Arabidopsis thaliana: one gene and its partners. The protein of the gene in region 1 interacts with the protein of each later gene in a pairwise test. Each region holds a gene or a part of one and is shown on either strand. Other genes may lie near its edges.

Region 1 (3,600 bases):
TAATTGACTTTCTAATCTAAAAGATAGAATTCTATGAAATTGTACACACTTTTGAAAACAATTTTTTTTTTAATAGAAAATTATAAGAAATTAGATCCATATGGTTATGGGTATTATAATATTTTTATTTATATATATATATATATATATATATATATATATTCTTCTTGCATGACCATATTAATGAGAATATTGGGATCAGAGACTTATTTATAGTGTGTTTTTAGTCTATTGCACTTGTGTTTTGGAATATTATGATATTTAATTCAAAGATGTACCCTTAATGAATGATCTTTTATGATGTCAATGTTTCAGCATCTTATACTGAAACAGAAAATAAGAGGAGGTCTTAAAGGAAAAGAAAACATTTCGAATGCAAAAATTTAACCTTTAACATTTTCGATTTTTTTTAATGAAATTCTAATAATATTGGTTCTAAGCAGCTGATTTTATTTTTTTAATAGTAAGAAATAATATATGTATACATATATATTTAAATATTTACTATCAAAATTTCCGGCATAGCAAGTCATAATTTGTAAGAAATCTTACATTTTGTTGTTTACAAACTCTCACAAGTCACAATGTAAGTTTCGGTCTAGTGCAGTGATGAGGTAAACAAAAAAAAAAATCTATCGATGAGCCAACTTTTTGATCTAGAGCCCTAGGATTTGACGATTTATATATAAATAAAACCCTAGGATTTTCGTTTCTTTTTGTATAAAAATGAATTCATAGGCACTCTATACGTCTCATGAATCATGAAATATAAATCGAGATTAAATAGAAAATTGAATGTTGACCGTGGAACAGAACAAGTGTTGAAAGAAGTGTGTTTGCAGCATGGTCTTATCATAGAGCCAATAGTTGGAAATTAGCAGAATATCGTATAATATCCACTATCCTGTAAAGCATTTTTATAATTCCTTTTTTTTTTCTCGGTTTCTAATGTAATCTTCTATCCGATAACAAATATTCGGATAGTGTGATCTCTCCACTAATATACATACGAAATTACGAAAACTAAAATTATAATTTCATCGATTTGATTAAACTCCAAAAACATCCAAGTCTTGCATCAAATATGTACATTTCTATCATATTGTTTATAATTCTTTTTTTGTTATCCGTAAGTTTTAGGCAGAAACCCGTACAGTGAAACCGAGGACCAGAACAAGATAAACGTAGTCCCCTCTCCTAAGTATAGAATTATAATGTGACACATGATCACAATTTGTTGAACGAACTCTATGTTCAACCACTAGACTACAAATTCTTGGGTTTATATCGTATTAGAAGTATATATAAATCATACATATTTTTTTTAAAACTTTTTTCTTGACTATTCTTTTAAGAAAAAAAAACATTTCATTACTAGAAAATAGTACAAAATATATCATTCAACCTAGCAAGAAACCATAGCCTGAAGTAGCCGCGAAGACCTAGTTGCTTAAACACTGAGTGGTTCATCTTAATTCGAATATTATAAACCACATTTTAATTAAGTAAATTACTTAGTCTTGTTCTAATGTATAAAATAGCCTATGAGAGGAAAACAGAAGAGAGAAGCCTTTGCCTTATCTCTTGTCCCTTCTCTCTTACCTTTATTTTAATTTTCAAATATTTCTTTTTGCTCCCAAAGCAAACGACGTCTTGTCAATCCACTCAAGCCACCCAACTTCTTCATTATTGTTAATCTCTCTCTCTCTCTCTTTCTCTCTTCTTCTCTCTTTCTCTTTTTTTTTTTTTTATTTTCTTCTCTTCCATGTCACTTCCTTGACGAATTCTATATACCTAGTTCGTTTTTTCTTCCTCAAATATATCTTTTTCAATTTATTTGGTTTTTCTTTGGGTGCAACTTCACCTCACAAAATTTTCTCTCTTTTTTTATATTAATTTGAGTTAGGCCTTTTTGATTTCATAGATGAGTCGTCTAGTCGTCTGGATTTGATGTGGTTATAGTCTTACAGAGACCTTTGATTGAAATAAGAACAAAAGCAAGAATACATACATCCTCTTCATCTTACACCCATCCTTTTTTATTTTTCTAGGGTTTTATTTTTTTTTAATTTATTTTTTTTCTTTGATTTTTATATTCTCTCTCTCTCTCAAATCTTTACTCATCTGGGTATGGAAGAATACCAGCATGACAACAGCACCACTCCTCAAAGAGTAAGTTTCTTGTACTCTCCAATCTCTTCTTCCAACAAAAACGATAACACAAGTGATACCAACAACAACAACAACAATAATAATAGTAGCAATTATGGTCCTGGTTACAATAATACTAACAACAACAATCATCACCACCAACACATGTTGTTTCCACATATGAGCTCTCTTCTCCCTCAAACAACCGAGAATTGCTTCCGATCTGATCATGATCAACCCAACAACAACAACAACCCATCTGTTAAATCTGAAGCTAGCTCCTCAAGAATCAATCATTACTCCATGTTAATGAGAGCCATCCACAATACTCAAGAAGCTAACAACAACAACAATGACAACGTAAGCGATGTTGAAGCCATGAAGGCTAAAATCATTGCTCATCCTCACTACTCTACCCTCCTACAAGCTTACTTGGACTGCCAAAAGGTTTGGTTTTATTCTTATTGTTATGTTATAATATATACTCTTTTTTTAAAGATATAATATATAGTTATGTGTGACATATATATGTATGTTCATGGGTCATGGTTTATATAGATTGGAGCTCCACCTGATGTGGTTGATAGAATTACGGCGGCACGGCAAGACTTTGAGGCTCGACAACAGCGGTCAACACCGTCTGTCTCTGCCTCCTCTAGAGACCCGGAGTTAGATCAATTCATGGTTCATTACTAACCAAAGTTGAATTTTAATTAAATGGGTCGGTTCTTTGTGTGTATATGTGTTAGAAGTCTTGATTTTCCTTTTTTATTTTTTGGTATGAATAGGAAGCATACTGTGACATGTTGGTTAAATATCGTGAGGAGCTAACAAGGCCCATTCAGGAAGCAATGGAGTTTATACGTCGTATTGAATCTCAGCTTAGCATGTTGTGTCAGAGTCCCATTCACATCCTCAACAATCCTGGTACATGTCATCAATCTCATATACATACATATATGCACATGTAAGAAATGGCTGGAGAAAACAAAGTGTAGTGGCAAGGTAGGGCTAATGATGGATTGCATAAATTGGCATGTTTCTTTGGTTCATGGTAAATTGTTGTAACATTGAGATATTAAAAAAAAAAAAAATCATAGTCTACATACATTTTCAAATGTTAATTAAGATTATAAGATAATTAAGATAATTGAGATGCATTATTGTTGGAAAGTATGTAAGATACAAATAGGTGTGCATATTTGTTCTTGTTTTCCCCATTGTGGAATCCATCCAAAGATGGGTGGGGCTTATTTTTGTTTTTTTTCTTTTCACTCGGCCCAAAAGTACTATCACAAGAACTTTTGGTGCTGCTCGTGAAGATTTATTTGGGACATTATCTTCTTCGATTTCGTTATGCTAAAACATCAAAATCTCTACTCGGATTAATTAGTCTAATCATAAAGGTAGATGACTAGAATGTTGTTAAATGACTAAACCATTTAACTT
Region 2 (3,839 bases), on another chromosome or scaffold:
TAAATTTCGTGGAGACTCCTGGAAATAAGTTTGTTTGTTTTCCTATTTTTATGTAACTTCGCTTAAATTTCTAATTGCCTAATCAAGGTATTAAAATAGCAAAGCTTGGTTTGGCTCAGTCTTCGCGTAAACTCCAAGAAACAATCATAAAAACAAATAAAAAAGACAAGAAACCAAAAAAAAAAAAAAAGTTGAGAGATTTCAGTAGATGAAAGTTGGATAGAAGATTCGTGTAGTTAGCTACTTAATGGGCCGTTAAAATATTTAATAAGGCCCATTGGGTCTAAACTGTGTTAGGATTACTAGGGCACAGAATCGGTCTCTGTCCCATTTCGCGAACTTTCTCCTTAGAATCGGAACGGACGAAGAAGGAAGACAAGGAAGAAGATCGGAGATGGCATCGAATGCGGCGGTTCCGTTCTGGAGAGCGGCGGGGATGACATATATATCGTATTCAAACATCTGTGCGAATATCGTGAGGAACTGTCTCAAGGAGCCACACAAAGCTGAAGCTCTTACTCGCGAGAAGGTTCACTTCTCTCTCTCCAAATGGGCTGATGGAAAGCCCCAGAAACCTGGTAAGCCTTTTCGATCCTTTAATCGTCGATGTTGGATCTTAGATCTGGATTCTTCACGTTCTTGTGTTCTCGATTCCTGATTTGTTTTTGAGTAATTTGTTGGAATAATCTGATTTCCTAAAAGTTATCGGAATTAAGTGGAAAGTGAATCATCTGCTTCTGGATTTGATCTTCGATTTTGCATTTAACCTTTCCTCTGCTTCTGGATTTGATCAGTTCAATACTATCTTCATACAATGTTGTTATGTCCAAATTGTTGAATTTTTCATTTAGAGTTAGCTTCAGAGAAAACAACAAAACTAGTAGTATGTGTGAAACAAGAACATGAAGAAGATGGAAAGCTGATTGGGAACATTGCATTTAGATGTCTTTTCTCGTTTATGTTTGGATCTGAATTCTTCATGTTCTTGTTGTGTGTCATTGAAATTGTTGGAATACGTAGATATCAGAGTAGGTCATTTTGGGAAAGCTATTGAATTTAAGAGGAAGATGAATCATTTTAACAAGCTCCATCGATTTTGCGCTTAATCTGTCTCTCTTCTGCTTCTGGATTTGATTAATTTCATTCTATTTTGTTTTCTCATAAGTTGTTGTTATGTTCAAATTGTTGAATTTGGAATGATTTCATTTCTCAAATAGGGTTTACTGAGACAATGATTCCAGATTTAGTCTATCTGAAAATGGTTCAGCTTTCTTCTTGTTGATCCATTTGTCTAACATTCTCTCATGTTTTTGTTTTTCCTTGACAGTTTTGCGGTCAGACACACCTGAAGTTTGAAGTCAACTTTGAGCTTATGTTCTTAAGGGATTCAAAAGTAACTGAGTTACCAAGATTTGTTTTCTTTTTATTGTCAACAATGGAGCTTGAGTGAAAAACTCATTTCCGATCATAATAATGACACACTGAGTCTTGTGTATCTCTTTTCTTCTTTTGCTATTCTGTTTCACTTTTTGTATGCGAACAATGAAAAAAAGCCTTTAAAGACTCTTCTGGCTAAAGACAAGTTCTTTTGATTGTTACAGAACAGTGAGAATAGCATAAAACTAAGCACATACGTGGAGAATCAATACACTGTCAGAAGTTGAGAGAAGACCATACTTAATATTAAACATGAGAATATACAAACTGATTTTCTGAATCATGTATTTTGAATCGCAGTACGCATATTTGCAGGTTAGACCATCTCCAATGTCACTTTTACGCGTTTGTTTGATTTAAATTCGATTTCCTCTTCTTGGTTTATATCACAAAACCAACAAAACGACACCGCGTAAAGTCTGAAAAAAACTTAACAGAGCCAGAAGTGCCCAGTGAACCAACCACACAAAGTCACAAATGGTTTCCGTGCTTGAAAGTGATCCTCACGCGCTTTACACATCGCGTAGATACCTTTTTCTCGATTTTAACAATTTTGCTATTTATTTCCTTTTAATTAATTTTCTCAAAATAAAAATTAACGTTCCCTTTTCAGTGTCCTTTCAATTTCTTTCGACGAAACTTCATTTCTCAATTTCTTTTGATTTTGATCGCTTCGAAGAACGAATCAATTTAAGCCTGCCACAAACAAACCCTAGAATACGACAACGCACGACGACGAAGAAGTCGAAGAAGACTACTACTATAAACGACGAAGATCATTACTTCAATCTTCAATCGAGCTTTTAAATTTTCAGATCGTAGAAGAAAATCGAACTTTTGATTCCAAAAGCGATGAGACCGATTCAATCGCCTCCAGGAGTTTCCGTTCCGGTGAAAAGCCGTCCCCGTCGCCGTCCTGATCTTACCTTACCGCTTCCTCAACGCGATGTTTCTCTCGCTGTACCTCTTCCTCTCCCACCTACTTCCGGTGGTTCCGGTGGCTCTAGTGGATCTGCGCCGTCTTCTGGTGGTTCGGCGTCTTCAACGAACACTAACAGCTCCATAGAAGCGAAGAACTATTCGGATTTAGTGAGAGGTAACCGTATCGGAAGCGGAGCAGGTGGAACGGTATACAAAGTGATTCACCGTCCGAGTTCTCGTCTATATGCACTTAAGGTGATATACGGTAACCACGAGGAGACTGTGAGACGTCAGATCTGTAGAGAGATCGAGATTTTACGAGATGTGAATCATCCAAACGTTGTGAAATGTCACGAGATGTTTGATCAGAACGGTGAGATCCAGGTTTTGCTTGAGTTTATGGATAAAGGTTCTTTAGAAGGTGCTCATGTGTGGAAAGAGCAACAATTAGCTGATCTATCTCGTCAGATTCTTAGTGGTTTAGCTTATCTCCATAGCCGTCACATAGTTCATCGTGATATCAAACCATCGAATCTTTTGATAAACTCTGCTAAAAACGTTAAGATTGCTGATTTTGGAGTTAGTAGGATCTTGGCTCAGACTATGGATCCGTGTAATTCATCTGTTGGAACCATTGCTTATATGAGTCCTGAGAGGATTAACACTGATTTGAATCAGGGAAAGTATGATGGTTATGCTGGAGATATTTGGAGCTTAGGTGTTAGCATTTTGGAGTTTTACTTGGGGAGGTTTCCTTTCCCTGTGAGTAGACAAGGTGATTGGGCTAGTCTTATGTGTGCCATTTGTATGTCTCAGCCTCCAGAAGCTCCAGCGACTGCGTCGCCGGAGTTTCGGCATTTTATCTCGTGTTGCTTGCAGAGAGAACCGGGGAAAAGGAGGAGTGCTATGCAGCTATTGCAGCATCCTTTCATATTAAGAGCAAGTCCGAGCCAGAACAGGTCTCCTCAGAATCTACATCAACTCTTGCCTCCTCCTCGTCCTCTGTCCTCGTCTTCTTCTCCAACCACATAGCGTTTTCTCTCTTCTTCCCTTCATCAACTCATATTTTTTGTGTTACTACTGTTCTTGAGTCTGTTGTCCAATTTTTTGCTAATCATGGAGGGTCTCTGAATTTTACATTTATTAGGGAGTAAAAAACTCGAGAGAGGGTTTTTGGGATTATTGTTTTCTAGAAAGGTAAAAGAGAACAATGATAATATTCTTATGCTTATGATGGTGCATGTATCCCCAATGTAGCTTTGTTGAATTTTCATAAAAGTTTTTGCCTTGGTTTTTCTTTTGTCATTTATGCTCGTCAATTTTGCATCTTGAAGACGAAAAGGACCGTTTCGTTTCCATTCTCGGTGTTTAGTTTTGTCATTGATAAAATGTCTCCTTGTAAAGCTTATTACCATCATGAAAAAGCAAAATATACGGATCGTAGAATCGTTTCTCAAACCTAATCAGGTTGATGTCCCAGT
Region 3 (3,839 bases), 4.7 Mb from region 1:
GTTATGTTTCCATAGAGTTGTTTGATTGTATAAATTAGACTGCTCGTAGATATTTATCCAAAATATTGTTATTAAATGGGCAATAATAGAATGGTGATTACAATGTGTTTCTTTACACAACAACCAAACCAAATAAGAACAAATTACAAATAAGAATTCCTTTACAAGAAAATATACAAACTTTAAATCAATATTTAATAACAAACAAAATTAAGAGTATTAATCGAATATCTTTGTGTATGTATTGTCTTTAAAACTATGAGTATACGACCCGAACAAAATCCAGTTCTACCATGGGACAGGTGACGATGTGGGTGACGTTAAGCTGCAGATTAGATAAAACAATTCTGTTAATAAACCATAAATATAAATCATATACTATGTTAATCAATGCGGAGATAGATCTTACTCTAAGAAACTTTTCCAGCAAGAATCACTTGTTTCATCATCAAGAAACTTCTCCCAGTCCTCTAGGAAATCTGAACCGGATGAGTGTTGAGCTGTACTGGGATGGTTCAAACTGGTTGTCTCGGGAGAGACCGATACCGAACCAGTAGATGGGGTTTCTAGTAGTTGATCACCATAGTAACACGGCATCATACCGGTTCTGATATGATCATTTACCTTGGTGGTCGTACTGGTACCCGGTTTTGCTGTATTTAAACTCTCTTGAGAAACCGTAACCAAACCAGGAAGCTGGTTATCTTCAAAACCATCCCAAACATTTTCATAAGATGGAATGAAATCCGAGGCGGCCTCAGGAGTGATTCCACTTTGGTTTATGAAAAGACCAGCCGGGGGATCCGGTTTAGGATTCACTGAATTGGTATTGAAGCTATTGACTACCGGTTCTGGTTTAGGATTCAGTAAATTGGTCTTGAAGCTACTGATGTTTGGTATGGCTTTGGGGGTTATGATTTGAAGCATTTTATGGATCAATTGGAGTTTAAGAATATCTTCCAAAGCGGTGTTATTGTTGAGGAGGTTATTGTTACCAAATTGGCCATTGTTGATTGCTGCCGCGAGCATTTGAGAAACATCGAGGATAGGGCTAAGATCGTTGGTTCTTGGCTCGTGCGTCACTGGATCAATCCCCATTTGCAATAACTTCTTCCTCATATGAGTGTTCCAATAGTTTTTAATTTCATTATCTGTTCTTCCTGGAAGATGACCCGCAATTTTCGACCATCTGTATGGTAAAAATTCGACTCAAACGTTAGTAAAATGAACCAACGAAAACTTAACCTTTTGTATGGTTAGAGAATTATAAACTAAAGTTTAGACTATAGTCTTGAGGATGTGAATTCTATAATAGCAATAATAAACTATGCAATGGTATCCATACGTAAATTTGTTTTTGCACTTTATATTAATTTTAAAAGAACTGAAAATGGTTTATATTTTAAAATTATGAAAAAAACATGTAAACAGGAACACATAATTACGTCTGAAACAAGCGAGACCTAAATCATTTAGTGCTAACAAAATAGCATAAAAGCTTTAACGAAAAAAAAATAGTCTTACTTGTTGCCAAGGAGGGCATGGAGTCTAACGATAGTACTCTCTTCTCCATCGGAAAATTTGCCTCTCCGGATATCAGGCCGGAGATAATTCATCCACCGGAGCCGACAGCTCTTGCCACAGCGGTTAAGTCCAGCGAGCTTAGGAAGCGACCGCCAATTCCCATAACCATTCTCGTTTATATAAGCAGTGAGCTTATCATCTTCTTCTGGCAGCCACGGTCCTTTCTTCACGCCTTTGTCTTGATCGCAACACGGTGATCTTCCCATTTTGTTTATATCAAGAACCAAAACTTATCAGAGGTTTTTGAAGATATGATCTTCGTTTCGTCGCTCCCTACGATTAGGTTTGTATGTATATATAGATGTGAAAAGCAGTCATGACATAACTAAAGTAAAGTTGTGTATGCATTCGTCAGAATTTGGTGTAAATATTATTTTTCATAGTGTGTCATAAGTCTACAATATATGAGTCATTCAATAAATCAGTTAAATAACCAAAATAGTTATAACAAAATCAAGATTAGGTACTGATAATATGATATGTGTCATGGCGTTCGAACTTCGAAGAGTAATTCGTGGGGATGATGTTCAAACAAATAATTTTTATATAAAAGAATACGAATAATTGTTAATGCATTAATGGATTTTGTTATTGTGGGTTAGATGTATAAAATATTTGCCCTAGCTATGTTAGAATAAAATGTTGATATTTCCCTACTAAAATCTTTTTTTTTTGGGACCAAATTTCTTACGCTCTTTTACTTGTAAAACAATCACAAATTATATACTATTTCATAATCTGCAATTCAAACTAATCTTATTGAAATTATGTTATAAAAGAAAGCCACATTTTTCAAAAATTAAACATGCATGTGATCATTTTTGAATATTTCCTATATATGTGTATATTTCTCTATTTAGATTAAAACCTACAAATAAGAATTTCGCATAAATGCATGATTATAAATTAAACTTGTTAACTACTTTTCTTGAAGGGTATATTTAACTAATATTTAATTGAAAAGCAATATTATGTTCTCATTGCAAAGTTCATCAAAATTGGAATCTTGCATTTATCATTATGTGATTGCTTCCACCGCATTCAAAGAATTATCTCTACCTGCTTCAATGTCTCATGGTTGATCAAAGCCTACCCTTTCGCTTCTTCTTCCTCTATTTGAATTCAAACGAAGATTATTATTATTCTCCTTATTGTTACCAAACCGTCGTTTGTGCCTACCATACGTTCTGAATTTCAAGTCACAAAAAATTACCTATGCTATTATCATTTGTTTTTTGTTTAATTGTTTTGTAATTTTTTGTTACGTGAAAATATAAATTTTTTACGTGAAACTCTCTTTAGTATAGGTTATCTCAATTTCTGTTTTATATTATTCGAAAATATACATATGGATTTGGATGATCAAGTTAATACGAGATTTTCGAATTGATTTACTTTGATAAAGGAAATGGATAGCTTTTTTCGATTGACTAATTTAATTAAAGAACTTCTCTCGCGGGTTCCAAACATTAAGTCGATAGCGTGAGGAACACATAAACGAGTAAGTGGATTTTATTAGAAGGTGTAACTATAAAGTTGGTATTATATATTACGTTGTATTATACTATTGGATCTTTGAAAAAATCTTTCATAATAGAATCTTGTTGTCTTCAAAGGAATGAGAAGGATCACGACAAATTAGAAAAAAAACATAAAACGAAATTTCCTACGGTTGGAGAAAATGTTTACTAGTATAATTTAAATAATGAGGTTTAATTTCACTCTCACGGAAGATCTTGTTTACATACTTAATTACTATTTTTTTACCGTTAAATTACTGTTATGGTTTAAAGGGTCAATGTTCAGGCTTGTTTCACATTGTCAAATTAAAACCAAACACTTACCAACTCTCTATTTATCACGTTGACTATTTAAACAGTCGTATATATTAAGGGTTCCATGTAATTAGTAGCACCATATAGTATAAAATTCCTATGCTATATTTATTTGACATTGTCAACGAGTATAGATAAGACAAGCCTTAAAATTCTATGTAATGTTATTGTTACGCGGCTTACGCAACAGATACATAGTCGTCAATTTGTAATTCAATGGCTGCTTCACTCTTTCGGTCTCTGTAGCTAAAATTGACTTCCGAATTCAAATGAGTTCATAACATTGTATAAACTTTCAGTCTAGATCGGTTATCTTTTTTCTTGTTTGGATTTTTGTTCCTACTCTTGAACATCTTTGGAAACCGATCGATCTTTGAATTATAAACTTGCACCATATAGAAAACAGTGAAGGTCGCTTGA

Evidence for each region.
Region 2: the proteins of KNAT1 (region 1) and MKK4 interact in binary tests that used the Arabidopsis thaliana proteins (3 or more experiments, as listed by UniProt).
Region 3: the proteins of KNAT1 (region 1) and MYB39 interact in binary tests that used the Arabidopsis thaliana proteins (3 or more experiments, as listed by UniProt).

What each region holds. Positions count from the first base shown.
Region 1 is NC_003075.7:5,149,141-5,152,740, reverse strand, and holds the start of KNAT1 (homeobox knotted-like protein), read left to right. Parts: upstream 1-1,581; 5' UTR 1,582-2,130; coding exon 2,131-2,598; intron 2,599-2,709; coding exon 2,710-2,835; intron 2,836-2,939; coding exon 2,940-3,078; intron 3,079-3,600. UniProt on the Arabidopsis thaliana protein: May play a role in meristem function, and may be involved in maintaining cells in an undifferentiated, meristematic state, and its expression disappears at the same time the shoot apex undergoes the transition from vegetative to reproductive development.
Region 2 is NC_003070.9:19,152,286-19,156,124, forward strand, and holds the start of MKK4 (mitogen-activated protein kinase kinase 4), read left to right. Parts: upstream 1-2,037; 5' UTR 2,038-2,289; coding exon 2,290-3,390; 3' UTR 3,391-3,839. Other genes in the region: AT1G51650 (ATP synthase epsilon chain), read left to right, coding at 395-578, 1,328-1,356.
Region 3 is NC_003075.7:9,881,579-9,885,417, forward strand, and holds MYB39 (myb domain protein 39), read right to left. Parts: upstream 1,855-3,839; 5' UTR 1,791-1,854; coding exon 1,525-1,790; intron 1,190-1,524; coding exon 410-1,189; coding exon of another isoform or gene 406-409; exon of another isoform or gene 326-405; coding exon 289-325; 3' UTR 21-288; downstream 1-20.